4 linked regions of the Rhinolophus ferrumequinum genome follow. The protein of the gene in region 3 interacts with the protein of the main gene of each other region in a pairwise test. Links are inferred from orthologs where the notes say so. Each region holds a gene or a part of one and is shown on either strand. Other genes may lie near its edges.

Evidence for each region.
Region 1: the proteins of MAGED1 (region 3) and TFG interact in binary tests that used the Homo sapiens proteins (3 or more experiments, as listed by UniProt). The two-hybrid records come from large-scale screens. The link is inferred for Rhinolophus ferrumequinum from reciprocal best matches to the Homo sapiens genes MAGED1 and TFG.
Region 2: the proteins of MAGED1 (region 3) and CA8 interact in binary tests that used the Homo sapiens proteins (3 or more experiments, as listed by UniProt). The two-hybrid records come from large-scale screens. The link is inferred for Rhinolophus ferrumequinum from reciprocal best matches to the Homo sapiens genes MAGED1 and CA8.
Region 4: the proteins of MAGED1 (region 3) and TTC23 interact in binary tests that used the Homo sapiens proteins (3 or more experiments, as listed by UniProt). The two-hybrid records come from large-scale screens. The link is inferred for Rhinolophus ferrumequinum from reciprocal best matches to the Homo sapiens genes MAGED1 and TTC23.

Annotation. Positions count from the first base shown.
Region 1 is NC_046285.1:29,837,035-29,844,994, reverse strand, and holds the start of TFG (protein TFG), read right to left. Parts: upstream 3,018-7,960; 5' UTR 2,768-3,017; intron 1,463-2,767; exon of another isoform or gene 1,445-1,462; intron 1-1,444. UniProt on the Homo sapiens protein: Plays a role in the normal dynamic function of the endoplasmic reticulum (ER) and its associated microtubules. Required for secretory cargo traffic from the endoplasmic reticulum to the Golgi apparatus.
Region 2 is NC_046297.1:18,632,822-18,640,604, reverse strand, and holds the start of CA8 (carbonic anhydrase-related protein), read right to left. Parts: upstream 3,018-7,783; 5' UTR 2,611-3,017; coding exon 2,511-2,610; intron 1,334-2,510; coding exon 1,142-1,333; intron 1-1,141. UniProt on the Homo sapiens protein: Does not have a carbonic anhydrase catalytic activity.
Region 3 is NC_046284.1:83,519,919-83,527,285, reverse strand, and holds the start of MAGED1 (melanoma-associated antigen D1), read left to right. Parts: upstream 1-4,366; 5' UTR 4,367-4,437; intron 4,438-7,367. UniProt on the Homo sapiens protein: Involved in the apoptotic response after nerve growth factor (NGF) binding in neuronal cells. Inhibits cell cycle progression, and facilitates NGFR-mediated apoptosis. May act as a regulator of the function of DLX family members.
Region 4 is NC_046311.1:11,647,503-11,655,229, forward strand, and holds the start of TTC23 (tetratricopeptide repeat protein 23), read right to left. Parts: upstream 3,018-7,727; 5' UTR 1,849-3,017; intron 1-1,848. UniProt on the Homo sapiens protein: Participates positively in the ciliary Hedgehog (Hh) signaling.

The sequences.
Region 1 (7,960 bases), on a different chromosome or scaffold from region 3:
CACCCTTGTTTCTACATATTCCATACCACACCCCTCTGCAGACTTGAGTGGATGTGTATGATTTGCCTGCACACTTTAAGAAAGAAGACAATGGCAGAGAGTGAGCCATTAAATACCAATCTGCTATAGAATTTTCCCTTCTTAGGTTTTACTGTAATCTTATTTCAAGTTATTCAGTATGATTATCTTATAATGACTTTATAATACTAAATTCAAAATAATGTCTGAGGTATCTAGTAATTTAAATGGTTACTGTATAGTAACAGAGAATATACTTGATTAAATAATGTGTTAATATCTCTTTTTCTCAAGACCTCCTTTTCAAGGCCAAGATGTTCTTGAATACATTATCTATAACCACTGAGCATTTCCCTAGCATCAACTTCCTCCTCCTGCCCAAGCAAATGATCTTTTCACACTGTGTCAAGTGCCCTACAATCTCCTACTGGCCACATTCTGGTTTCAACCTCAGGCTTTACTACTGGCAGCTTTGTTTTCTCCTCTTAAATTTATTTCATTAACATCATACTTGGTTTTCATACTTCTCTGTGTGTGTGTGTGTGTGTGAAAGCACCCCACCTGCCCCAACACATCTCGAACCTTCAAATACTTTTAAGTATTCGTGAATCCAAATTCATTTAATAAATATTACATATAAATGCCCTACGTCCTTCCAACTAACTATTCCTCTAAATCCCCTTCCCCATCCTCTGAACAGATTACATTTTATCAATAAATGGGGCAATAAACACTGAATCTAACACTCTAAAGTCAGTTCATAACAGAATGGATTGTGCTCCATAACCTGGATGCTGTGCTCGCCTTCATGTAAAATAAGAATAGTCAGGGTTTTTATTTGCAAATTCTCACAACGGACTTCTCATGAAGGCTGTGATTAACTTAAACTTCCATACAACCTCTTCACCTTTAATCTATCCTGACCTTTATTCAGGAAAAATTTACTGAATACGTACTTATGCCAAGCTCTGAAGTATAATTACTTCAACAAGATGATGAAGATTCCACCTTGTTTGCCTTGCAGTCTGAGAGTAATAAAGAACTCCGGTCAATCAGTGTCACCTTCTACTATCTACAGGTTGTGTAAATCAGCAATAAAGTAGTTAAGGACCAAGGCTTAGCTTCAGCAAAATGGTACTATCTACTCTCAGCAACACTGAGAATAGAGCCTGACATATAGCAAGCAAGGACTTGTTTTTTGTTCCTTGAACAAGAGATGAATGAGGAATAATAAAGTTCTGATAAACCAACTGGGAGAAGAAAGCTGTACTATCTAGTCAGTTCCTAAGTCAGACCTTCACAATGTACCTTCTTTATAAGCTAGAAGTGACTCCCGAAAGCCAACATACTCCTAAAAGAAATTTCCAACATCGAATATTACTGATAGTATGTATGTCTTTTTGATTGTGGAAGGATTGTTGCTCACCAATGGATCTGAAAACACGAGTCTGAGTCTCTTTCACTTCGTATCGGCATGTTTGCCTGCAAACTCACTTATTCTTTAGCATTTCCCATTGACTCAATTCCCTGGGGCGAGGAACCAGGGCTTCTTTCCAAAGGCTGTCCTCAGTTTGTGCAGTTATCTCCTCAAGGCATGCACAAATATCAGAAAACGAATCGTACCACAGAATTTTCCCTTCCAGGGGAAATCCCATCCATCCCCATTGTTTTATACAATGTAATAGTAAAATTCAGGGCCTCTGTTTCTCTAACTACTAGTTACCAGGAGTGCTGGTGAGATCCTTACAGCAGTTTCTCCTCCCATCTTGTCCTTGCCTCACTCCCTCTAAAGTCCAGAAATGACACAGCCACTAAGGAAATCTTCCAATAGGAACACTGTTCTCAGCACTAGAGAATAAAGTGACATGCCCAAGGACACATAAGAAGCCTGCATCCTGAACCAGGATCTAGGTTGTGGCCAAACCTCCAGCTAGATTAACCCTGTGGGTAGGTCCCTGCTCAAAATCACAGGGGTGTGATTGGGCACGTCAGGAAGGTAGCAATTTCCTTTAAGAAATTCTAAGCAAAATCAACCCCTGCTTATTCCAAAGAATACAAGGAGCCTCCGATTCTGCCTAACCAAAGGCAATGTGTTAAGACCGTAAAGATTCCCACTACTAGTCACGTGTCCTTAGGCATCAAACGCAAAATGGGAATAATATTTAAATTTGGAAGGAGCCTTAGAATAATTAAATAAGATCATGCATCTAAAATACTTTGTACAGTGCCTAGTAAACTCTAAGAGTTAGCTATCATCCTCACTACAAAACTGGGTTGGGTCTGCAGACGGCGCTTGATAAAGCACTGACATAGCCAAGGAACGAGGTTCCCCTGAAGTGACCCCAATCAATTTACTCCTATTGGCGCCATTCTCCGCCCTCTCACCCTTGCAAGACCCTATGGCGGTTAGGCGCCCAAGGCCTCCCCGATCACCTCTCCTCTCCGTCCAGCATTCCGACCCCTTGGAGCCAGGCGGAATAAGCGCGAGAGCGCGTGATGGTCCAACCACCCCCAAAGCCCACCCGCCTCCGTGGCCTGTGTGATGCCCTTCCTCTCCCCGCTGTGGCCTCTCCTCCCCTAGGCGAGGTCCCACCCGGCCTCCCTCCTTCGGGCCTCCAGCCCCCTCTCACGGCCCCTCTGGCCCCCTATGCCCGGCGCCCGCCGGTTCGAGCGAGGCCCTCCCAGCGCTTCCTTGTCTCCTGGCCGCCTTGTCTGAGAGCGGCCGCGCCCCCGTCTCCAGCGGCCATACCGGCTTGCCGAGGCCGCTGCTGCCGCCTCTCCACAGGTCTCCGCTGGCCGGACTGGTGCAAGGCTGCCGGGCTTGGGGGCGTCGTAGAGAGGGTACGGTCACGGCCCACTCGGCTGCCCTCCGCAGCCGCCGCACTTCCCTCGTAGGCTCGCGAGGGACCCAGCCAATCGCACAGACCCACTAAGCCTAGCGAGAGCTTGGGCCCAGTACGTGGCAGGTGGGGGAAGAAGAGGGGCGGGAGCAAGAAAAAAAAAAATCTGTCCTTTCGCCCCGCCTCACAGCGAGCAGGCCACCCCAGCACGCATGCGCAACGCCGGGGGGCGCGGGGCGGGCAAGTTCCGGGCCGACGTCGACCGGAGTCTCTGCTCTGTCACTGGAGGAACAAGTGTAGTAAGTGCGAGCTGAACGCATGCACGCGTGCGCGCGGCATGACCAGGAACTTCCGGTTTTTCTGAAAGCGTGTACACTATTTCACGTCTCTCGTTCGTGGGCGGAGCATAGTTTACTGTTCTGGAATCTATTTGAGAGCCGATTGAAAGTGGGCATGTATCCAAGTTTGCGTCTTGTTGTTTTGTGACCCTTGTAGTTCTCTTCGTCATATCTCGAAAAAAAACTAAACTTTTTCCCGCTTTTCTACAAACTCATTCATTCATTTTTGGACGCCTACTCCTTGCCGAGCACTATGAGGATGAATCGGTTTGTGAGCAAGTTTACAATGGCGTTTACGTGACAGGACAAACCTATGAATGGGTAAAGGCTGGGAAATAAAGGCTGATGAAGTATCCTAGAAGCCTTTTTGGAAGATAAGGTATTCGAGTGTGCACTACATACTCCTCTCTCTTACCTAAAACATTTGTTTTGAATACGTGTGTGTATGTAAAAAGTGCCCTGACTCAGACTGAACCCTACATTTTTTTGGGGGGAGGTGAAATTTGGGGGTAGGGAGCGCTACTTTAAAAGTTGCAAGCAACTTTTGTCTTATAAGACAGAGACTAAGCAAAAAACAATTCAAATTAATCTGGCCCATAGTTGTTCAACAGAAAGAAAGGCCTGGGGTAAATTGAATTAGGTTCATGTTCTTTTAATACCATAAATAGTGTGATCTTTTTGCAGTCATGAGTCTCTGAACAAATCTTTTTGAGAGGGAAATATGTGAGGTTAGAATGCTTTTAGCCTCTGAATTGTATTTTACAACACTCTGTATTGCTCTTTGAGCAATTGGTTGCAGGAATTGGGGAGCGAAGGGCTAGAAGGAATGGAAAAAGTTCCTGATTTTCTCCCAAAATTGTTCATTGCTTGTTATTTAGAATTGAGTAATCCAGGTTTGGGGAAGTAAATTGCTGTCCAATTATGGTATTCTGATGTCTTTGAGTTGGTTTGAGATTGGATAAAAACACTCAAAAATTGGCAGAGGTAAAATATTCCCCGAAGGAAAATAACTATATCATTCTCAATCTTCCTAAAAAGAGGTTTCCTGGGGCAGGAAATTAAGGGAATAAACCCTAGCCTGGAATGAGGGGAAAGAATTTCCTCTCTCTAAGTTCCCAGGAAAGGGGCACACACTCAAGAGTCCTGCCACTGAGGAGAAATAAACGGGTCCCTGTTATACTGGGGCCAGCTGGAAGCTAGGAAGAGAGGCACCCATGGGTGTCCTTGGGGAGGAATTGGGGCTTGTGCACTCTGAAAGCAGCTTAAGGTTCGTTATGTTATAATTTTCTCATACTTAATCCCCAATTAGTGAAGTCTATACTTCATCCCCAATTAGTGAAGTCTTGTTGAGTTAAAACTTGTCCCCTTCCACTAGAGAAGGAGAGAAGGGATAGTGATGATTCTTCAGGTGAAAGCAGAAGCAGGATTTGTCTGAGGCAAGAAGTGAAACCAGAGAGTAAAACATTAATTGGAAGACAGATCAGAGGCTCAGGTGACATGGGACAAGAAGGAAAACACTGCAACATTAAAGCATTTCCCCAGGATTCTCTAGAAATATACATTTTAAATTTTTTAATAAAAAACTTTATAAAAGATTGTACCTCCTGCTTATCCAGCTGGATGTAGGCTTACAATATTGTGATCGGGCATGAAATTGAGGACATTTGGGTTTGTTTACATGTCATAGGAGAGTATGTATAGAAAAGCACACAATTATCATCTGAGTTTGTCAAATTGCCCCCTTTAAATTATAAATAACTTAATAACCAAAATCATATCCTGCCTATTTTCTATTTCAGCTTAATACTAAATTGTCCACAAAAATTTCAGTGGCCCTTCGTGTTCCTGATCCTATATAACAATTACATTTTTAAAATTAATTTAAGAGCATAATGAACAGCTGCAATTCACCACCCAACCCAAGGATTAGAACATCGCCAGGAAATTACGTCCTATGTGCTGCTCCCCACATAGTCAGTACCCTTGCCTCTTTCCTGAATTTTGTGTTCTGCATTCCCTTGGTTTTTTTGTTGTTTTTTTAATCTATTGTTTAATCCTACATATACATATACATACATATACATATATGTATATGTATATGTAGGATTAAACATATCCTATATGTATATAAATATATCCTATATGTACATATCCTATATGTACATATAGGATTAAACTATAGATTTATATTTATATATATAGGATTAAACTGAACAAACTGAACAACATATTTCATATATATATATATATATGAAATATGTTGTTCAGTTTTACTTGTTTATGGACACTATATAGAGTACCATCTATGATTTTCTGGGATATAATATTTATACATAATATTTATTATGTTACTAAGTAAGATACATCTATGTTTTTACATGCAGCTGGACTTCACTTATTTTCATAGCTGAATCATGTTCCTCTGGGAGAATATACTACAATTTTTTTTTTCAAGTCTCCTACCAAAGTATATTTAGGTTATTTCCAGTTTCTGCTGTGTGCTTGTATATGTCTCTTATATGAGAATATCTCTTGGTTATATGCTAATACATGGATCGCTGAATGGTAGATTATGCAAATTTTTAGCTGTACAAGATAATGCCAACTCTTAGTATCATAAGATACTTTTTATTTGGGCTGTGTCATGCAGCAGTCCCTGCTCGCTGTGCCATTTGTCATGCAGGGTGGCCTGCGGGGTCTCAGCTCCCGCTCCCCACATAAGAACGCAGGATGTGGCTAGGCCAAAAAGGAACACGCACGGAGCCATAGGTAAGGGAGTCATAATACTATAGTCTTACTTGAGGCTGGGCAAGACACACGCAGTAGTAGCCACATGATCCACAGTCCACCATTCACTTCTCTGCCTGCCAACCAACCAATCAACGAAGTCCGCAGTTACCTCAGTAGCCAATTGTCTGATTGGTTACAGCCGATGGCCAACCAATCACAGTTGATGGTCATTCATTACCCGAGCCAGCACCTCCCCACGTGAGGCCGAGAACCTGGAAACTGCTCTCTGGGACTCTCTCCCCACACTTCACCCCTCCAGGGTCTCGCCTCATAATCTATGCGACAAGTGTAGAAAAAAGTATTGGCCAAGTCCACTACATAGTGATAAGTTCCAAGGCAGTCAGACAATCCATCAAATCCTGAATTGAAGGCACTGCCGCGTGCAAAGGTGGTGTCACCTTATTTAACTCCCTATAGTCCACAGTCATTCACCAGGTCCCATCTGGCTTCTTGACTCCCCATACTGGGGAGTTAAAAGGACTGTGCATTGGCCTCACAATATGTGCCTTCTCCAATTTCAATATTGTATGACCAATCTCCTCCTGCCCTCCTGGCAGGCGGTACTGTCGCACTGTAACCACACGCCAGGGCTGTGGCAACACTTGAGGAGGGTGGTGAACATGCCCACGTGTCACCGCTGTCACCACCCGGATCCGGAAACAGAACTCCTACCGACGTCTGTAGGCTGAGGCCATGTAGCACGTCCACCCCTAGAATATACTCCGGAACGAGGGAGACATAAACCTTGTAGGTACGAGGGGGAAGCCTTCCTATACCCAGTGGTAAGGAAACAGCTTTTACAGTCACAGTCTTTCCCCCATAGCCATCAATGCAGATTGCTGGTCCGGGAAACAGTTCTGGGTTCCCATAAATAAGACTGCAGTCTGCGCCAGTGTCAACTAGAGCTAAAACCCTCTGCACATTAGAAGGGGACCAATGTATGGACAGTTCCACGTGGGGCCTGGGTCCCTGCTCGTCCCCTCTGATCAGGTACCTTGGTCCCACCCCTAATCAAGCTGAAAGGAGTCGGCCTCAAGCGGCCGCATGAAGTCCTGGAGGGACATGGGTCACGCTTTCCCAGACTTCTCCTTTAGGCTTCTCTGGAATTGCTGTTTCAGATGCAACTGTTTCCAAAGTTCCAACAAGAGTGCATTGGGTTGTCAGTCTATTTTCTCCCGATCGACCCCTGCTGCCATGAGATCACGCCACATCTGTGCACGTGTTACTCTCTGAGGCCCGCGACCTCGCCCCTTTACTTTTGATTTGGGCTTCCAGGTCTCAACTGCTGGGACCTCCTGTCTTAACTTCCTTCGCCTCTGGCTTTCAACATCCCCTAGGGTGGCTATGGCAGTTGTAACTTCATGGGTCCGTCGCCCCACATAGGGCATAAGAATGGCGACCAAGAATCCAAAAACACAGGAGCAGTATCCAAAACCAGATCTCTCATGCTGGCTGTAAAAAGCTCATCATCCGGCCCCTGCATATTAGAGTTGAAAATAGCATGTCTCATACCCATTTCACGGATGATTTGCGTAAGTTCCGTATATGACTGCCATTGACTCACAGTGTCTGGCAGCTCGCCAGCCTGTCCCCATACTGTGCGTACCGCAGCAGTGAGCCACTCCATCAGAGAGTGGTTGCCCTGGTCTTGGGCCAACCTATGGCAGTTCTGTAACCTTTGTCGCAGGGATGGATGCACTGTCACAAAGGCTAGCTTTTCCATCTCGCCTGGGGAGCAGAGAATGTTGTCTGCTCCCTCATCCCATAAACGTAGTAGCCAAGCCGAGACTGGCTCTCCAGGGCGCTGTCGGTACCACCTCCCCAGCTCCTGCAACTCAGTGGGAGTGTAAGGGGTGTAGGTCGTGAACTCAATCACAGCTGGGTTGCCGGCAGCAACGCCCCAGGGGCCCAAAGGTTGCTCATGTTCTACCCTTTGCTTCAAGATTGGCTGGGCTTGGGGGTTGGGAGCTACAT
Region 2 (7,783 bases), on a different chromosome or scaffold from region 3:
TAATATTAATGCTAATTTTTTTAATTCTGCTTTCCTCTTCATTACACTTAAGCCAAAATAAAATTTCTTAGTAATGACCCAACACCGTTTCCATAAGACATTTCAAATCCATCTCAAATAGGTTCAGAGGGAGAGGGTGAGTTAATTTTTTTTTCATTAAAGCAAGAGCTTTGTTTGCCATTTCAGTCTTGTGCTGAGTTTAGAGAATGTTTTTGATTGCTATTAGTTAAAATTCTTCTCATATTAATATAGTAGAGAAAATGAACTTGAAAAGTCTATCTTGAATGCCAGATAATGTCAATAAATCCTAGTCTTAGTTTTACAGTGCAGTAAAACAGAGAAGTATAATTATCTACATGATTTAAGCTGATCAACAATTTAGGACAAAATGCAGATTGGTCCACCTGCACATACCTTTCCACAAATTCCACAAAGTGTTATGTTGACCAACTGATTGTTAGAGTATCATCTAACATTGAACAACCAAACTGACATCTTCATCATTTCATCCTTTTATCCTTTCAAAAATGTTTCAGAAAATAATTCCCAAAATGCACTTTATAGGGGCAGCCGGATGGCTCAGCCCGTTAGATCAGGAGCTCTTAACAACAAGGTTGCCGGTTCTATTCCTACACGGGCCAGTGAACTCCGCAGTCCACAACTAGATTGAAAGCAACAGCTTGAGGTTGGAGCCCTAAGCCTCTGCCAGGCAGCGGGTTGGCTCGGTGGTTAGAGTGCGGGCTCCTAACACCAAGGTCACGGGTTCGAGTCCCACAAGGGCCAGTGAGCTGCGCTCTCCACAACGAGGTTAAAAACAATGACTTGAGTTGGAGCCGCGCTCTGCCCTGCCTCAACTGGACTGAAAAAAAAAAACAACTTCACATCCTAGGAAAACACTGTTCCCAACATTCCCCAATTTTTAAAAAAATGTGTTTTATAATATTTTAGGCTGGTGCAAAAGTAATTATGGTTTTTGCAATTAACCTTTTAAACCGCAATTACTTTTGCACCAACCTAATACAAAGGTATCCTGACAATGGAGCTGTTCGTTCTACTTTTAAGGTCATATAAGCTAAATGAGTCAGTGGCTCCCAGGTGACTTTGAATCTACAAGAACACACAAAAGCATCTCGTGAAATACCTGATTTTGACTTCAGGATAACCTGAATGGTATGTCCATCATTGGTGACTTCACAGTCCCGGCAGACCACATAATTTGGCGAGAGGCGGACATCCAGCAGTGAGGGGTCATATCTAGCTTCTCTTGAATTCAGGTTAATGGGAGACTGGTATTCCCCATTAGCATCAGGAAACACCAAGCCCCACTCTACACCTAAGGACAAGATGAAACACATTTATAACAGGTTTAAAAAAAAAAAAGTTACAGTAAAATTTATCATGTAAAAACTAGTTTAAACACTGTTTATAACCCTGTACGTTATTAAGAGGGTTATGACTACTCTCTCTCTCTCTATAGGTGAAATGTGGTCAGTGTGTGGATTTTTGCATTCATATTTTGAATGATATAATGTTATTAAATACCACATACAAAACCCTGGACTAACAAAATACTGTCTCTATTGGTCCACATAGATGTAGCAATTTATGATGCTAGGAAATTCAGGTAATCTTTAAATGATTAGGGAAAAGATAATACCACAAAAATGTCCTCTACTCATCAGTTCGATTATGTGCAGTACTTGGCAAACACCTGTAAATCCCCACATGCTTGGTGAGAGCCCAAAACCACAGACCTGAAGCAAGTGAGTTAAACACCTCTTATCAGAAATGCAAGTACAATGTTTTGAAGTGTGCATATGCTATATACACATATCTGTATTCATACATGAATACTGTTTCCATATTTTTAAGTTAAAACTACAAATTCTACATTTTTTTCAATAAATGTAGTCAATATCAGCACCTGTGGTCAACTCTTCTAAGAGATCTACATTTTCAGGGATAAATTTAGAAAACTAAACTTCTTAAAAAGTCAAGCCCACTGATTGAGCCTGAAATTTAGGACATGTCTGGAAAGAGTCTTGTTAGTATCCTTCGGGGAAAAAGTAGAGGCAGAAATACTTCTGTCAAAGTCTTCATAGCAAACAAGAACGTAATACTTTCGCTAACACTGTATTCTCAAGGTGGTGAGTACAATGTAACATTGCTCCTTGCAGCTACTCAGGAGACAGAAATGTCACCGCCACAGGTCTCAGGCTCGCCCTCCGCATGGAGGCAGGTGCCAGCCGCTCCTGGACAAGAAAGCCTGGCTCCCCAGCGCTAAAGCAGGCAGCAGGCCCGCCCGCTGTCCCTGGAGCGCCTTCTGTCCCGAAACCGACCCGGGGACTGGGAAAGCGACAGAGACCCACGTGGGAAAGCGGGGACTCGGCGGTGCTCGGAGCGCGCGAGAGCAGCGGCGTGCAGAGCCCTGCGCTGCGCCGACACACGCGGCGCGTAGCCTCGGACGCGCTGTCCCGGGACCCCGGCCACCCCAACACGCTGCGGGTTACCTTCTTCGTAGCCCCACTCCACACCCTCCTCCTCCTCCTCCTCATCCTCTTCCTTCTCCGGGAAGGCGACGGAATCTTCGATGAAGCTCAGGTCAGCCATGGGAAGGTCGTGGGTCCTCTCGGCGCTCTCGCCGGCGGTGCCTGCGCCCCTGCAGGGTAAACGGGCCGGAGTGAGAGTGTGAGCGCTCGTGCGTGTGGCGCGCGTGTGGGAGTCTGAGCGCGTGAAAGTGCGCTTGTGAGAGCGAGCACACGTGTGCAAGTGGGAGCACGCGAGTGCGAGTGTGAGCGCGTGTGCAAAGTGGGAGAGCACGTGTTTGAGTGTGAGCGCGCGTGGTGAAAGACAATGTGAGTGTGAGCGCGCGCGTGTGAGCGCGCGTGCGAGTACGAGCGGGCGCCCGGCGGGCGGGCTTCGAGCCGGGACTTCTCTGGCGGCGGGAGCGGGGAGCGCGTCCCGAGTCCCAGCGGAGCGCGGGAGAAGCCACAGCTCCGGGAGCCAGAGCCGGCGAATTATAAACCCGGCCGGGGCGTGTCTGGCACGTGAGGATCCGCCCCCTTGGTTCGGTGGCCGAGGGACCCAGGGGGAGGACACCAGGAAAAGGCCCTGGGGCTACCGCGCCGAAACGAGCGAAAGAGCGGACACCGCTTACCCTTACCGCTGGGTGGGCTCCCCACCCCGCTGTCCCGCGCTGACTGCGGGAGATCGGCCTCCTGCGCCCGCCATCCCGAGCCCCGCGAGTCACCCAGGGTGTGTCCACCGGACGCTGGTGTGCAGGGCCCAGGCCGGACCTGTCTGTTTTCATCTTTACTCCAGGAAATAGCAAAAGAAAGGGACCTGGGAGGAGAGAGATGGATTGCCTTGGGTAGGAGAAGAGAGGGCTGGGAGACACACAAAGAGGGTTTCCCCACTCTGAATCCTTATTACTGAGGTTTTGTTGTTGTTTTATTAGCCCTTGGAACACAGTAGAAACGAGTATGGAAAACCTTCCAAGAAACTTATAGTTCCTAAAAACATTTAAGAAAAAAAATTGTTTTCATCTAGAGAAGTAAATATAATTTAGGGAAATTTTTCCGTGAAAAAGTTTAGAGTAGTGAAAGGCAATAAAGCAAGCGTGTTTTGGTTTTAGTTTCAGACTGTGGGTGCTGCTACAGACGCAGCTAGCTGTGTACACAGCTCTGATGCCTAATGAAATCGTGTCAATAATGAAATGCACACATTGCATAACAAACAGGAACTTTCCTGATCCAAAAAGCTCTCATAGTTACCTCACAAACGAGCCGCCCAATCCAGTGTTAAGGACTTCAGCCCCCTGTTCTAACGCCTTTTATTTAAAACCTTTAGCTAATAACCCTTGAGCGGGTTAACACCATGTTTTTAGAAGGCCTGTGTGCATAATCTCAGATTTGGATCTTTAGTAAAATTTATTTCTATATGCTCTATGCACTCACTGAAATGTCTGTTAGCAGTTTGAATAGTGGATTTCTAAATCATACCACCCTTATCAATGCTTAATTCCTCATATAAGGACGGAGATGCTCGATTTGAGGATTTGGGGTTCTGAGCTCCACTGCCTGCTCAGCCCTTCTTTTTTTCTTAAAGCCACTTCACAGGCTATTAGAAATTTCTCCAGAAAATGGATTGGGACTGAAAGGGGGTGGGGGATCAATCTGCCCCTTTCTAGAATGTTCAGCAAAATAGGTGAAAACTGTTGGTCAACTTTAGCTTTGAGGATAACCTGTGGATTTCATGTAATTCAAGTAATTTCTCTTTCCTCTTAACACAGACACAAGAAAGTCCACCATTGAGCAGACTGAGCCACAGTCTGAGAAAAACTAAATGCATTCTTTACTCACTGCTTTCTGGGCGTTCTTTAGTGACTAGCCTGTCTTCCCTGCCCCTTAGTGAACCCTGGGCTTGACAGAAGCAGAAGTCTGTCCTAAAGCGATAGCTATAAAAATAATAAACACTACCCCAAACATTAACCATTTTTCACTGAAGTTCTTCCAAAAGGAATATTTCATTGCTTTCTCCTTTCCTGAAAACTTTTTCACAACATTGAAATTTTTTTTTAAGCTTTCTTTTAAGAAGTTCACACCTTAATCAAATGCTGCAGCTAATGGACCCGATGGGCGGTTCCATAATAAAATCATTTTGCCACCCTGAGCTCAGCAGTAACGCTCAGGTCCCTCTGGCCCCAAAATGTACATAGATGCTACCTCATAGCCATGTGTGACCACCAACTGCTCTTAAAGGATGACATGAATTACAGAGATGTTTCTTGAACCGGAGGACAGCAAATTCGCCATGGCAAAAAAACTCCGTTTTCCATGAGTAAATAGTGTGCCATGTTTACCGCAGATAGGCTGAAAGACTGAATTGTTAATAATGAATTTTGCAGCTAACAGACAATTTTGCCTGTAGCCGACAATGAATCACCGTTCATAAATGCAGTTAACTCCTAGACAAACATGTTTACCCGTATTTGACCTTCCTAATTTTTCAACGTCATGTGTATAATGTAACTCCTCCTTGCAAGCCTAGGGTGCCCTGTCCAGCAACATAAGAGCCATTCCACTCTGCATCCAAATAGTCAATTAACAGCCTTAATTGCTTTGAGACTGTGTGCTTCCGAATTCTGCTAATTAACAGCATCTGAAGACCTTCTCCTCTCAGGTCCCTGTACTATATTATCACTAAAGATGGATTTCTATTTCTAGCTGTTACAGGGTATCTGTCACCATAAAACCTAAACACACAGATCAAAGATATAGGCCAATTCTTTGATTTATGAAATAGAACAAGCACACCGAAATCTAATAGCAGAGAATCTAAAAATATTCACCCTCTGTATGTGAACTTAAGTACTCCATACACCCCTCTGTATAATTGTAATGCATTTCGGCCTAATACCATATTTGATTCCTTAAGTTAACTTTGTATTACTCACTTTCAGTGTTTGCATAACTGAGGTCAAGTCACATCAGTATAACAATTCATTAAAAATAACACCTATATAACTAATTGCTATTTATATAGGTACTAAGAGAACATAAATAGAAATACCTAAAAGGGACAAGCTAATCTAGATGTCAAAGGAACAAAGAGATATTAAGATTGGTCCTAGCTCCGCATACCTACACAACATGCATGGGATGTGCGTGGGCAGTGATTGAGCGAATAGCAATCTAGGCCTGAGCGATGATGCTGAATAATGGCCGTCATCGTTGTAGATCCATTTTCTCCTCCAAGTACCTTCTGTGACCTGCCAACACCAATCCAGGTTACTCAAAAAATGTGAGCTTCAGTGGGCTCATGTCTGAAGTAAGACACTGCTCTGGTCGTTTAGTTAGCTAGGCTGATTTTTGTTTTGTCAGTAAAGGCATCAAAATTTTCCTCATTATACACATTTTGATTGCTGAAAGTTTCAATCTTCATTTATAAGGCAAGACATTCTGATTCGTTCATATTTGTTTCTTCATCTGATTAGTCTTATATTTTGTCTGCTTAAAGTTGTGTTTATAAGCCTACTTTTGTTTCAACTCTTCTTGGTCTTCTGTCTTCAGAACCATCAGCTTTTAGTGTTGGGTTGAGTGGACGGTGGCAAATTATACTCTTGTCATTCACTGCTCTGCTCTGTGAGGTGATACCTCACAGCTTTGAGTAGAAGCGCATGTACCACTTCCTCATAGAAGCTTTAGTAATTACCATGTGGTTCCACCATCATTGTTGTCCCTCTGCCCCCAAATTACCGAGTCCAAGAAAGGCACTGCTCCTTCAGTCTAGATCCTGGAATGAAGAGGACCCACAGATGAGAGTGCAGACAACCAGAAGTCAACAAGTTATTCAGTGAGAAAGAAGCCTTTGTTTTACAAGCCACTGAGATTTGGGGGTTGTTTGTTATAGTGGCCTAACCCAAAGCTGACTGTTACAATAGCCCATCAGGTAAAGGTGAGCTCAAGAGTAATCTTTATTTGCTGAACTGCTTTTTTGCATGTCTTTTTACCTCTCTGGCCTGCAAGGAGACTAAACAGTCTAAAACAGTGCCCTTATCAACACCTTGCAAATTTCTTAGAAGCGCTGGTCCTAACCAGGACCCTCACGACCTCACCACTCAGTGAGAAAGCCCGTTTCCATAGAAAGTCCCAGTCTCCTCTAAGCAGGCATGGGCCATCGCTCTCTTCACTTCTCTCCGATCACACCCTTTATGCCTGGAGCCCTATACCTACTGCAGCACGAAAATGACAGCAGCTGAGGTTGGGATGTTTGAGATCACTATTGATGACTCCCAAAACTCCCTTCTCTAAGGAGCCTTCCTCGCATTTGCCAAGTGAAATCCCTACTCGAGTGGTTTAAAGCTTCCATGATACTCTGTACAGATCTCTAGCCCTGAAATTAAGATTGTGTTTTAAATATGTCTTTATGACCCTGTCCAATAGACAGTGAGCTCCCTGGGAGCTAGGGGTTCATCTCGTCCTCTTTGTACCCCCCACCGAGCCCATGGGAGGCACTTAGGAAGTAGTTGCCCTGTGCCACCAGCCGTACAGTAATCTGGTTAGCCTTTATAAATACTAGCGCAATAAAAGTTCTGATAACTAAGGCAGAGGCTTTCAGGATACAGGGGCCACAACACACATGAAGGGAGTGGTCAAGTTTACTTGGTGGCAGGTGTGTCAACAGGGGCTTCATAAAGGAAGTGACATGTAGCTGGGTCCTGCCAGATAACTAAGTGCTCTTTTGCCCACAGAAGAGTGGAGGACAGGAGGTAAGAAGACATGCCAATCAAAGTGAAAAACAAACAACAAAAACTCAAATATAGAAGCCAGTGTGAGTTCACCTTTTGACCAAGATTTTTTTTTTCTATGATGTTAATAGAAGGTTTTCTATGGTGTAAATAAAAGTGCAAAATGACACATTTAAATAGTATGTCTATGTTTTAAAGATTTTTTTAAAACATAATTCAAAATAATCTCATGACATGAAATAAAATACAAAGTAAATGATAATGCTTAGATAAGCACGTTGTGTTGACAGAACAATTCTAGAAATGTACTGAGCCCTTTTTGACATGAAGAGAAGATGCAGTGGCCCAATTAGGATCACCCCGTGGCCACACTCATGCTGCAGTTCCCACAGCAACGGGGACACCTCACTCTGCCCACAGCATGCGGCTGGGTGCAGGAGATGCAGGAATGCCTGCTGTGCAAGATGGCAAACCAATTCACAGAATAATGTGAGCACCGTGGTTTTCTCCAAAGCTGGCTGCCATAATTCCTGC
Region 3 (7,367 bases):
TCTAATATACAATCTGCACTGCAAGAAATACTAAAGAAGGCTATTCGACCACCATCAACAGGGACAACGTGTGCCAACCAAAACATGAAAAGGGGGAGAGTAAAGGCCTGAACTGGAACATGGGAATGGAGAAAGTATGCATGCTGAAGAAAGTGGAATACTCTAAATATCAAACTTTCTTTTACATAAATTTAAGGGTAACCACTCAAAAAAAATCCAGAACTATAATATATACTGTAATAAAAGAAGAAACAGAGGGAAGCATCATAGAATATCACCACACAGAAATAAAAGACAACAATAAAAAAGCGAAGAAACAATGGAGAAACATTCTTACCAGAAAACTGAAGGTAAAATAATAGGAAATCCTCACATATCAATAATCACCCTAAATGTAAATGGACTGAACTCACAAATAAAAAGCCACAAAATAGCAGATTGGATCACAAAACTAAGCCCAACCATATGCTGTCTCCAAGAGACACATCTCACGTACAAGGACAAGTGTAGACTCAAAGTGAAACAGTGGAACTTGACACTCCAAGCAAATGGTATCCAGAGAACATCAGGTGTAGCTAAAGTTATATCAGATGAAACAGACTTCGAGGTGAAAAAGGTAACAAGAGACAAAGATGAACATTTCATAATGGTAAAGGGGATTACACAACAAGAAGACATAACAGTCATCAATATTTATGCCCCCAATCAGGGAGCACTGAAATATACCAAACAACTACTAACAGAAATAAAGGGAGAAATTGACCAAGACACAATTATACTGGGGGACCTAAATACATCATTGACAGCTATGGATAGATCATCCAAACAGAAAATAAATAACAAAATAGCAGTCCTAAAATGGCACATTAGATCAAATAGACATAATTGACATATATAGAGTACTTCACCCTAAAACATCAGATTATACGTTTTTTTCTAGTGTACATGGAACATTCTCAAGGATGGACCATATATTGGGACATAAAACTAGCCTCAGCAAATTTAAGAAGATTGAAATCATACCAAGCATATTCTCTGATCACAAGGCTTTGAAATTGGATGTCAACTGCAAAAAGAAAGCAGGAAAAAACACAAAAACATGGAGATTAAACAACATATTTTCTTTTATTTGTTGTTTTTGGTTTTTTTTTGTTTTGTTTTTTAATTTATTGGGGTGACAATTTTTAGTACAATTACATAGACTTCAGGTGTACAATTCTGCATTACATCATCTATAAATCCCATTGTGTGTTCACCACCCAGAGTCAGTTCTCCTTCCTTCACCATATATTTGACCGCTTTACCCTCATCTACCACTCCCCTCCCCTCTTACCCTCTGGCAACCACTAAACTATTATGTAACTTTACTAACAATTGTCATCCCAATAAACTTTAATTTTAAAAAATCATATGATTATATCAATTGATGCAGAAAAAAAATTTGACAAGATACAACATCCATTTATGATTAAAACACTTAATAAAATAGGTATAGAAGGAAAAAACATTAACGAATAAAGGCCATATGTGACAAACCCTCAGTTAATCTCATAATTAACACTGAAAAACTGAAGCCCATTGCTCTACGTTCAGGAACACGACAGGGCTGTCCCCTATCACCTCTGCTTTTCAACATAGTGTTGGAAGTCCTTGCTAGAGCAATCAGGCAAGAGAAAGAAATAAAAGGCATCCAAATTGGGAATGAAGAAGTTAAATTGTCACTCTTTGCAGATGACATGGTGCTATATATAGAAAACCCTAAAGACTCCACCAAAAAGCTATTAGAAACAATCAACGAATACAGTAAAGTTGCTGGCTACAAAATCAACGTACAAAAGTCCATTGCATTCCTATATACTAACAATGAAATCTCAGAAAAATAAGTTAAAAAAATTTCTTTTGGAATTGCAGCAAAAAGAATAAAATACCTAGGAATAAACTGAACCAAGGATGTGAAAGATCTATATGCTGTAAACCATAAAACATTTTTAAAGAAATTGAAGAACACACAAAGAAATGGAAAGACATTGCGTGCTCATGGATTGGAAGAATCAACATAGTTAAAATGGCCATAATACCCAAAGCAATATACAGATTTCATGTGATCCCCATAAAAATCCCAATGACATTTTTTAAAGAAATAAAACAAAAAATCTTCAGATTTGTTTGGAACCACAAAAGACCCCAAATAGCCAAAGGAATCTTAAGAAAAAGAACAATGCTGAAGGTGTTACACTCCACGACTTTAGCTTGTACTACAGGGCAACAGTAATCAAAACAGCATGGTATTGGCAGAAAAACAGACACATAGACCAATGGAATAGAATTGAGAACCCAGAAATAAACCACATAAATACGGACAGATAATTTATGACAAAGAAGTAAAAAACATACAATGGAGAAAACACAGCCTCTTCAATAAATGGTGCTTGCGGAATTGGAAAGCCACGTGTAAAAGAATGAAACTGGACTGTTATCTGTCACCATGTACCAAAATTAATTCAAAATGGATCAAAGACTTAAGCATAAGACCTGAAACAATCAACTGCACTGAAGAAAACATAGATACTAAACTTACGGATCTTCGGTTCAAAGAGTATTTTATGAATTTGAGTCCAAAGGCAAGAAAGTAAAAGTTAAATAAGTGAATGGGACTATATCAAACTTAAAAGCTTCTGCACAGCAAAAGCAACCATTGACAAAATAAAGAGGCAACCAACTGAATGGGAGATGATTTTTGCAAACAGTGCCTCCGATAAGGGGCTAATATCAAAAATATACAAGGAACTCATGCAATTCACAACAAAAAAACAAACAACCCAATTGAAAAATGGCCAGAGGACCTGAAGAGACATCTCTCCAGAGAGGACATACAAATGGCAAATAGACATATGAAAAAATGCTCAACATCACTAATCATCAGAGAAATGCAAATAAAAACCACAATGAGATATCACCTCACCCCAGTCAGAATGGCTATCATCAAGAAGAGAAATAGTAACAAGTGTTGGAGAGGCTGTGGAGAAAAAGGAACCCTCATACACTGTTGGTGTGAATGCAGACTGGTGCAGCCAATGTTCATGGCATCTTTATTTACGGTGGCCAAGAAACGGAAATAACCAAAATGTCCTTCGATAGATGAATGGATAAAATAGTGGTGGTATATATACACACAATGGAATACTATTCCGTGGTAAGAAAAGATGAAATAGGACCATTTGTGACAACATGGATGGATCCTGAGTGTATAATGCTAAGCGAAATAAGTCAGACAGAAAAAGCAAAGAAGCATATGATTTCACTGATATGTGGTATATAAACCAAAAACAACAAAAGAACAAGACAAACAAATGAGAAACAATAACTCAATAGACACAGACAATAGTTTAGTGGTTACCAGAGGGTAAGGGGGGAGGGGGGTGTTAGATGAGGGTAAAGGGGATCAAATATATGGTGATGGAAGGAGAACTGAATGTGGGTGGTGGACACACAATGGGATTTATAGATTATGTAATACAGAATTGTACACTTGAAATCTATGTAACTTTACTAACAATTGTCACCCCAATAAACTTTAATTTAAAAAAAAAATAAGAAGGAAACTTAAAGTCTCTTAGGAAAGAAATCTTGGCCTGTATCAAAAATAACCACAAAAGAGAAGGACTGGAGTCCTGATTTTGAGCAGAATTGGTTTTTGTAGGTAGTGGCAGCACGTAATTCAATATTGAACTTTTAACCAGAGAAAGGATTATTCTCATTATTGTACTGAAACTTTTTTTAAGCTGTCATTTTCTTCATTTTTTTTCCTTTGGTGGGGGGTGTGGAAGTATCCAAGAATGTTTTCTAAATGAGTTCCCATTTATTTATTTGGAATTTTGAGTCTGGCATGTAACTCTTTGGATACCATTCCAAGACAAAAATGATTCAGATTTAAGATTTTTTTTTCAAAAAGTTGAAATCAAAGTATGCTACTAATAAAAATTAACTTTATTTCCTAAAATGGTATGCCAGAAAACAGTGACCCGGTATGGTAAATATGAAACTGCAGACATTCAAGAATTAAGGGACTAAAGGCACGGGAGGTATTTAAAAAGCTGAATCACAAGGACAGGTGACAGATTGGATAGGTGGGGTTTGACAGAGATACTGCAGAGTGCTAGGATTTGAAAAAAGTTGACTGATTTCCAGCCGGTTTACATCTCTATCCAGGTTCTGATCTGGTGAGAGAACCAATGAGATAAAGTCTTGCAAGAGCTTGCTAGAGAGGCACAGGAAGCTGCCTGGAGTGAAAGTGCGGGGGTGGGGGTGGGGGGTGAGGGGTGAAGGGTGAGGGGTGGGGGTTGGGTGGGTGGCAGCAGAAGCTAAAGCTTCCGCCAAACAAAAGAAAATACCACTTCCGGTCATACAGTAGACGCGTCGCTGGCTTTCTTCATCAAGGTGAGTGTAAAGAAAGGGACTGGTAATTCTCACAGTGAATGCTCAAACATGCCAAGGAAGCTTTCCTCCTTGCTTCAACATGGGGTGGAAAGAAGAATTCATCCCCACAGTATGGAGGATATTCCTGATGGTTGTGGTTCTGATTGTCTCACTATCTCCTCTCTTAATCCTCCGGAGATGGCAGGCCGTTATCCCCTCCCTCTTCTGACTTTTGTGGTACTTTTATCCCTCGTCACTCTTCACATCTCCTCTTTATCCTGGATCCTCTTCCAGATCTTTCTGAGCCTAGTTCATTCCCTGTACCACAGATTTTTCCTATCTCTTACTCCTACCTTCTACTCAGTCCCCTTTAAGCCTCAGAACTTTTGCAACCCCCTTCCCCCACTCTGAACCTACAGTCTTCCCTTTTTCCCCTTCTGACCCAGTATTTTATCCCATTGAAGGCTTCTGGTCTCTCCTGAATCTGCCCTGCAGAGGTAAGTGAATTACATACTGTAGAAATTGGGTGTGATTTCAATTTCAAGGTCAAGAGTATTTTCTTTTAAAAAATACGCAAAGAAACAGATTTTAGAGCCCTAAGAGACAAAGGGGAGGTGTTCAAATTATTACGTCCTTTTATTTATATTTTTACTCTAAAAAAACACACATCAGATATTGCACTGGTTTCAGTTGTCTAGTCATGACTTTTTAAAAAAAATGTAAAATTTTGGCATAGAACTGAATCCCCAAATTTTTATGGTATTGCAAACATAGCGTGTTTTGCCTAAAACCTGGTGTCAGCTTTAGAAGATGGAAGATTTCCCACCCCTTTTATAACCTCTCATAGAGCAAAAAGGTTGACAGATATGACATCCAATTACACATGTATTATTTCATGAGTCGGGTTTATTATGCAAATCCTTTTCTGGTCTCTGGTAGTAACATTGAACAGCAAACTGGAAGAGTTTTCAAGTATTTTTTTCCCCAAGAGTTTTGCAAGTATTATCTGTTTTGTTGCATTGTGAGCTGTCTTTTTTCCCCATTTGTTGCAATGTGAAATGTATTTTTCTGTTTCCTTAACCATGTGTAATTTATCTGATGAGAACCCTAGTTAATAATCACAGTTTATTATTTCAATTCTTTACCCAAGAGAAGGGAAATGATCATTAAATTTATAATGATGTTCAGGGTTTTTTCAGGCTCTAAAGGAGAATTGAACCAAGAATCTCCTTGAACAAGCATTTATTCCTCCTCTTCTAACTAGTGTGTTATGTTTGCCAAAATAAGAGGTGATTCTTTTTTCTAGGCCAGGTATAGTTTTCAATTCCTTTAGAATAAACAATGAGGCAGAGATTTTATGACGCCAAAACACTTAGGAACTTTTTCAAAGGGTATTGCTGATGTCTCTTTATTCTCTATTGAAGTCATAATTATACAGTTTTAGATATCATCACATTGGCTGCAACCCACTGTGCATGCATCCATCTATTCATTCAGTAATTTTTTTATTGAATAACTTTTATGTGTCAGACAGTGTTCTAAGCATTGAGGCTACAACAGTGGAAAATAAAAACAAAAATACCCCATAAATTTGGGAAAGTTTTGTTTTCATTTGTTTCAAGGTAGTTTTTGATTTCCTGGTTTTATTTTCTCTTTGACCTATTGGTTGTTTAGTAGCATGTTGTTTAGTCTCTACATATTTGTGTGTGTGTTTCCAGTTTTCTTCCTTTACAATTTATTTCTAGCTTCATGCGATTGTGGTCAGAAAAGATTTCAGTCTTTAATTTATTGAGGTTTGTTTTGTGGCTTAATATATGATCTATCCTGGAGAATGGGCCCTTGAAAAATCTGTATCCTGCACTTTTTGGATGAAATGTTCTGTAAATGTTTATTAAGTTGATCTTGCCTAATGGGACATTTAAGGCCATTATTTCCTTATTAATTTTCTGTCTGGACGATCTACCATTCATATGGGTGAGGTATTAAAATCCCCTGCTGTATTGTATTACTGTGAATTTCTCCCTTTATGCCCATTAACATTAGCTTTATATATTTAGGTGATCCTATATTGGATGTGTAGATATTTATGATTGTTAAATCCTCTTCTTGGATTGACCCCTGAAAACAAAGTTTTCAAACTATAGCTGAGAGACAGACAATAAATGAATATATATTAAATATGTAATAGGTTGTGATGGGGAGGGGCTGTCCTATTTTAGGTAGGATGGTCAGGAAGGCCTCCTGGTAAGGTGACATTTGAGCAGAAACCTAAAGGAAGTGAGGGCATGAACTATACAGATATTAATGGGAAAACAGGATATGTCTATGCCAGTGTCTCTGCATTTGTTGTTCACTTTGCTTCCTGCACTCCCCACTCCTCCACAGTCACTTTTCTGCATAGTGTTAAGCAACACTCTGCATAATCAACTAATCTAATCCACCCACATAATTTCCTCATATTCTCTTTTTCCTAGTTAGCTTCTTGCTACCATTTAGGTGAAGAGTGAGTTACCAGCCCCAGTAAGAAGACATGTATCTACCTCCATCCTCAGTCTGTTTCTTTGTGGCACACTGTGTGCTATCCTACAGCATATTTACTTACCTCTCTCATTGCTCTTATCACTGTGTGTTCATTATATGTTGCCCATAAATACTTGGTATGGTAAATGGAAATGAATTCAGTGCTTGTGTGTAACAGACAAGCTTTTAAATATAGTTGGCCACCTAGTGTTAAAAACCACCCTCTGAGGTCAGTATTATCATTGTCATTTTACTGATAAAAACAAGACTCAGAGGTGGATAGTAACTTGCTAAATGGTGGTGGAATTCATGGAGTTAGGGTCTGTAAGATACTCATTCCTGGCCTGGTTCTTTCTTTCTATCTGTCTTTCTGTTTATTAATAACAAATAGAAAATATATAGACTATTTTATTTTATTATTTTACAAAACA
Region 4 (7,727 bases), on a different chromosome or scaffold from region 3:
TTATAAGGGTTTTGTTGTTGTTGTTTGTTGAAATTCTTCAATTTAATTAAATAGCACCAAGAGATACACTTAAATCCTGAAGGAAAAGAAGCAAGAACTGATACAATGGGAACAATAATCACTTTTACTGTTTTGATTGAATCACAACTGCTGTCACATCTAATATGGTTTGTATTTGTACTAAGTGCTAAACAACAAATGAGCTCTATGCTTTAGAAAGAAATGTGTAAGAGTTATGTTATTCAACCAAGTGAATTTTATAAAAGGCATTTGGATAAAATGTCTTAAAAGGCTGCTATTAATCCTTACTTCATTATTCATAGCATTTAACGTCTTCCCTTCCAGTCTCTGCTCTGGGAGCTATCTTAAATTGCGATGTCAGTTTTATCTTTTTCAAATATTACTTTCATAAGGTCTCCGTCCTGTTCAAATCCTAGGGCCAAACTCCTTAACTCTGGCAATTTTGACTCTTCATGCAACTTCTCGTGCTTTTTTTTTTTTTTAAAACCAAGTCCCCCAAATGAACCTTCTGCTGCAGCCAGAGCCAGTTATTCTCTAGGCTGCATATTACTTATTGCAATTTCATTACCTAGGATGCCACTTCCTTTCTTTTCTATCGACTGAAACTTTGCACATTGCTCAGGCCCACAATTGCTCAGGCCCCAATCCTACTGTGAAGCGTTCCCTGAATATTTCAACTCATACTGATCTAAGTACCTGAAGTACTTACGATCTATAATAGTCATCTATGCATAAAGAACTGTCTGGATGTTTTAAATGTTTTGAGTCTCATTCCCCTAACTAGAGTATGAGCTTCTTGAGAGACTGTATTTTATTATTTTATATCCCCCTATATGGATTAACAGAGGCACCTAAAGAAATATTTATTGCATACCTACTATGAGTTAGCCTTGTAGAGGTTTAGATATGCTACTAGGTATTATATTTACTAATTAAATCTTTACAATGCCATATTTTGGAATTATATATTGGGCAAGATCCTAATATTATGTTGCTATTTCAAATATAAGTTTTAATATATGTTATTCTCATTTATCAATATTTTCCTGAACTTTTATTAATAGAGCTTAGTTTTAATGAACATATCATTTTTGAAAATACTATATAAGTGGTGAATTTCATTTTTTGATAACTGATTATTATATTAATTACCTACTGATTCTGATTCATATACTAATATCGTTTTGCTTGGCCATTAGCAGATTGTCCCTGGCTCTCGTAATCTACAAATATACACAGAATTTGAAACAAAAGACGATTCTAATTTTCTCCTATATCTTTTAACAGATGGATTGTCTATTATGCTAGGTATGATAGTATACAAAAATATCCTTTTTATCCCTTTTAGAAGGTAAAAGGGATCAACTATATGGTGATGGAAGGAGCACTGACTCTGGGTGGTGAACGCACAATGTGATACATAGATGATGTGATACAGAATTGTGCACTTGAAACCTATGTAACTTTACTAACAATTGTCACCCCAGTAAACTTTAATTTAAAAAAATATCCTTTTTACTTGGTAATTACAATAACATTAAGTGTCCCTCTAAATCCATTTTAAAGCAACAACAACAACAACAACAAAACCACAGCTTCTTAGAGTATAAAATAATCTATAATTAATCTTATTACTTTGTTCCCTTTATCACTCAAAAATCCACAGCTAACCTGGGAATAAGGTTCTTCCAACCCCAGCCTAAAGAGGAAAACACCCTCTGAAAACCACTTTCTGCCCCTCTCAGATTTTGCTCCTAGTTTATCTGGTTTTCCCTGACACTTCCTCCTTCAAAACGAATGAAAAATCAGGAAAGTTGCAATGCTTACATCTCTGTGTCGTAAAATCCTTTGTCCATTTACCTTGTATGCTTGAGACGTTCTCCGTTTCTTTTTCCAATGAATTTACAGAGCTGTCTCGACAGCCTGATTTGCCAGACTGGGTCCCGCTGATCAGTGTGGCGATTCCTTATACAGATTGATAACCACGAAAAAGTCTAAAGTAGGGTAGTTCCAGACTAAAGAAGAGCAGCCTTTTCCCGTAAAGTAAGCTGGTACCTCACAAAACTCCAGGCAGAAGAATGAATGACAGAGCAAGCACCAATAGGGAGTGGAGAAGAGTATTTTGTCGAAGTTTATAACCCAATCCTTGGGAGCCAGAGGTGGGAATTTTAAAATGGGGTTGACTTTTTCTTGGTTTTTCTTAAAGTGGCATTGCTGCCTGTTGATGTTCAAGTTTGTTAAATTATGCCAAATCACTAGTTTAGAGTATTTCTTCGCCCTTGATTTGGGTGAGGCAAAATGTGAAAATTGACCCTCGACAAATTTAGAGAACTTTAAAGTTAGACATAGGATATTATACTATAACCATAGAATCACTTGGCTACTACTTTTGTCAATTTTTTTTTTGGAGGGGGCGGTGTAGAAGTTATTTTAAGATGATTCATTTTACGTGATCAACTATTGGATGTTAAATTAATGCGTTAAAATATTTCCCTTTTTAGAGAAATGAAAATAAGAGGCTAACATTGATTACTTTCTAAGAAATGGTTCTATCTATTGTTAATCTTTTTTTTTGAGCGCGTGTAACTTCAGTATTAGGAGGAAGTCTTCTTATTTGGGTTGATCTTTAATACCCTAAAGGTTTTTGTTTTTACACAAACTGTAGGTTTCCTTGTTTGAAGTCTAGCAAAAAATTCCTAAGTACTACAAATTCTTAGGTATTTAGAAACCTATATAAAGGATCTTAGAAATACATGCCATATACTTCATTAACTTCAGAAGACCAGATTTAATATATAGATAATTGACATTTCATTATAGCTCATGTCTTGCTTTGGAATAGGTTTTATTGTTATTTAACATAACTCTGCTTTCTAGGTTATTCATCTCGAAGAGTAATGAACTAAACCAACTATATAAAACTACACAGTCAAGGTTACTTGACAATGAAGCACTGGTAAATTAGTCATTATCAAGCTTTTCAAAGAACAATGAATAACAGCAGTTTCATGAGAGGAAAAAAAATGGAAAAACCTCATTGCAGAACGCAAGTTGCCATATTAAAAAAACAAGGCATTTTAAAAAATAAGTTTTTGGGTTTTTTTTAACGTTCCCTGACAATGCTTGATTTTTTTTATTTTTATTTTTATTTTTATTTTTTTTTTACCCAGCATAAAGCTCTCGTCCTTTTATGCCTCTTTCCCCTGACATAGAAATTTCCGTCTTGAAAAATATATGCATTCACGGCCTACCCAGCCATGCTAGGAACCGCCCCAATATTTAACTTACTAAGTGGTTACCATCCTTTTCAGCGATCTTTTCTAACAAAAGGTAGAATTTCAAGAGCAGAGACTAGGTTCCCGCCTCCTCTTTGGAACGAACCTATCAACGCGCAGTGAGCCCTTAAACCTGTGCTGGGGTTCACTACCTGCCCACTATTGGCCCCTTTACATAAACCCACGGGGCCTCAGTTTTTCACCGGTCAAACTTAGTATAAGAATAGTACTTGTATCAAGGGATTGCTGTGAGGGATAAGTTAGGTAAACTGTGCACAGCTCTTAGAACGCTGCCTGGTACACAATAAGCGCTCAGGTGTGACTGCGGTCGTGCCTCAAGGTACCCATTGAATGACAGCACGGACGTCTGAATGAATGTGTGAATGGAAGAAGAGATTGGTTACTAACGGTTCCTGAGGTGCGAGCCGGCTCAATTACCCCTTCAAAATGCAAAACAGCAAAAAACCACTGTCTTGACAGCAAGATACCAGCGGGAGCCGGAAGCGAGCGTCGAGAGGTGGGAGGGGCCAGCCTGCAGGAAGCAGCGCTCTCGGCCAATGGCCACATCTCTCGGAAAACGAGCCTCTCGTCCGACCTATCGTGAAACCGCGAGAACAGGTTGGAAATATCGCGATGTTCCGTTCTTCTCTCCACTGCTCTCTCTGGCCCAGCTCTCTGTTGACAGGGTTCCCTCCCCCGCCCCGCCCCTCACCGCCCAAGCCTCGCCCCGCCCCCCGCCCGGCGCCCCGCCCCTTCCCTCCCGGCGTCTCCCGGCTTGCGGTCCAGCGCAGCCTGCGCCCCGGAGCGCTGGCTCCGCCGGCGCCGAGGTGAGTGCGACCGTCCAGGTCCGTGGGTGGCTCACGTTGGCGAGGGTCCCTGTCCCGGCCCCCTACCTCCAGGTGGGGTCCGGCAAAAGCGTCCGGGCCGCGGTGGGTAGACCCAGATGCGAGTGGGCCCTGCCGGGCCTCGGGTCCCCACCGTCGCCGGGCCCTCCTGGCCCTGAGAATCGGATACTGGCTCTTGAAATCCCTGCCACTGGGCTCGCTGCTTCCAAACTGTGACGACCTTAGTGTTTGATTAACTCGGGCAAAGACGGCATGTGTTTTGCTTAAGACTTCTGCAAGCAAGGGCTTCTTAGAAGTAAGAAAATAACCTTTTACAAATGCTTTTAATGAAGTTTTTAATCCTCTAATGTCCAGTATTAGGAAATCGGAGTGGGTATTTCTGAATTAAGTACTGAAGTCACTCGAAGGGACTCCTTTCCTAAGACGCTCGTGCCTAAAATGTGTGAAATATGAAGATAGACGGTTTTGTTTCTTTTTTAAAATAATAAAGTGGATTGGTGTTTACCTGTCAGAAAACTCATGTGGAGGTGCAATGGTCTACAGTTAATGTTAAGTATGTCATTTACTTTTAACTGTAGGTAAGAGGTAGTGAAGGAAATCTGTGTAAGAAAAGTATCCTGGTAAAGGATGTATATTGCCCGTGAACGCATATTGGAGACCATTAGCGTTATTTATGATTGATTGGTGGCTTTCAGGTTTCACCTGTGTAGATTTTACCGTTTAAACTGCCTTTGTACTAAGATGCATTTAACAGGGCGTAATGACGTTTTTAAGGCAGACAGAGGGTTCAGAAGGAAAGCCATCAGACTAGAGTGAATTCTCTTCTTTGATCTTGCATCAGTGAGTGTGGGTTTTATATATAGTTTTGCTTTGGAGTCTTACATTTATATAAGCCTTGGCGACCACTTAAACGACCCCATCAAAGTGTGTGCCTGAACTGCTGCATTGTAGGGCAATGCACAGGTTTTGGAGTGGATGCACCTGGTCTGCAATTCTGGCAAGTAACTGTATGAGAAACACAGTTTCCTCATACATTAAATGGGCTAAATAATGTCTATTGCATTGCAGAATTGTGAGCATTAGGGATTTTTTTTTTTAAAGATTTTATTGGGGAAGGGGAATAGGACTTTATTGGGGAACAGTGTGTACTTCCAGGCCTTTTTTCCAAGTCAAGTTGTTGTCCTTTCAGTCTTCGTTGTGGAGGGCGCAGCTCAGCTCCAGGGGGCACAGCCCACCATCCCTTGAGTCCAACCGGCAACCTTGTGGTTGAGAGGACGCTCTCCAACCAAATGAGCCATCTGGGAGCTCAGCTGCAGCTCAGCTCAAGGTGCCGTGTTCAATTAGTTGTAGGGGGCGGAGCCCACCATCCCTTGCAGGAGTTGAACCGGCAACCTTGTGGTTGAGAGCCCACTGGCCCACGTGGGAATCCAACCGGCAGCCTTCGGAGTTAGGAGCATGGAGCTCCAACCGCCTGGGCCACCGGAGCGGGCCCCAGCATTAGGGGATCTTTATGGCACATAGTAAGCACTGAGTATATAGTACCTACAAGCTGACCTTAGCTCAGAGAATGAAAAAAACTACCGTGCAGTACAGCAGGTCCTTGAATAACATTGTTTGTTCAGTGTCATTTTGTTATAATGTTGATGAGATAACATAGAACTTGACTCTTGTTTATGTCAGTTAGCCTACCAGAAAGTTGGTGTCTACATTGTTTCACTTTAAGTTGCACACCCTATGCAAGGTATTAGGTGAGGACTTACTGTGTTACTCAGTATCCTCTTTTCATCAGCTGTTTGAAGGCCTGCTTTATGCCAGAGGCAGGTATATAAGAGTGAAGAAAACCCCAAAATCTCTGCCCTCAGGAGCTTATCGTCTCTTGGCTAGATTGACAATAAGAAAATGCACCAGTAAATATGTAGATTACAAATTGTGAAGAGTCCTACAAAGAAAAAAAAATCGGGTTTCTCTGCAATAATAACTGGGGGATACTTTAGTTTGAGATAGGGGCGTGATTTTTACATTGAAACCTGAAGGATGATGGAACGTTGGGTGCTTTCTTGGCTAAGAGGAGGGCAGCAAGTGCTGTGAAGAGTTTGACACTTTCTGGAACTGGAAAAGCCCAGGAGCTTGGTGAGAAGCCAGATAAACCCGGAGAAGTGTATGGGGCCAGATAATGAATAGCCCTGAAGTCCTGGTAAGAGGTTGATTTTCTAAAAAATCTTTTGAAGGGCTTATTTAGTAGAATGTACGAGCACTAGAAAGCCAGTTTACCTTACAGAAAGGGAAATATAATTGGATTTACATTTTAAAAGGCTCACTGCTAAGTAATTAAAGGACCAGAAAGTGGCTAGAGTAGACACGGAGACCTGTGTTAATCCAGATAGCCAGGTAGGAGATGCCTAGCTTTTGGTTTAGGCTGATGGAAAACTGTGGATAGATTTGAGGTATATTTTGGAGATGGAAACCACTGGCCTTGTGATGAATTGGAGGTGGCAGGTGAATGACCAGATGGAATCATTCATGACTTCTAGCCTTCCAGCTTGAGCAGCTGGGTGGGGAGGTGGGTGGCGTGCCACTTTCTGAAATGGGAAAAACTGGGGAGGATTTGAAGGCGGGGAGAAGGTCTCTTTTAAATGTGTTAGGTTGGAGGTTCTTGCTTTGCAGCTGAGAGAATTAAGATGTAAAAAGATTTGAGTTTCTTGCTCCAAGTCATGTAAAGGCTCATAAAAATAGATGAGCAGGTGGACTAAATATGGGAAAATATTGGATTCTCATGTTGTATTGGGATGTTATTGAATATTCCATATTCTCCGCCCTTTTGTATACAGTGGTAATTGCTCTCTTATTAGCTAGGATTTAGAATTCAGAAATAATAGCAAATAACCAAAAACTCTGCTTATTGAAAGTCATGGTACTACATTTTGCACTAACTTGGTGCTAATTCCAAGTGGAAATAGTTTTTCTTAAGAAAAACAAACTCTTTGAAAGTTCCTTCCATGAGAAAGTTTAGAAAAGGGTGCCCATGAAAACAGAGAGTAAGTAGGCTCTTTGAACCAAGCTCAACTTCTTTTTAGTGTTAGTATTTTCTTAGTATCCTGTGTACCTGTGTATGTAAAGAACCCAGCCTTTGAAATACACTGGACACCCCACCATCCAAGAAAAAAAAATTCTTGCTTTCATTATCCCTTATGAGCTGTTTGGCTTTGAACTAATTATTGAAGCTCTGAGTTTGTTTCTTCTAGTGTTCATTGATTGTGAAGTTTGTTTCTGTTCTGTGCGTAGTTGATTAGATGGCAAATGTTATTTCTCTTCCTGTCCTTGTCAGATTTGGAGGTAGAAGGGAATTTAATCTGTTCTGGGTTTTGGCTTTTACCAATAAATTTCTGTCTCCATTTTATATATTAGGCAACTGAGGCACCGAGAGATTGAATACAGAGTTCTTATTTCTTAGTGCAGTGTTTTTTCTTTCATTGAAATAATAAAGTAAAACTGTTTCTCAGACCTATTTCTTTGTTACTTTTGATAATGTGCAAAGATAAGAAGAAAGTAAGAAAAGAAAAAAGAGATTAAAGAAAGAAAAAATTAG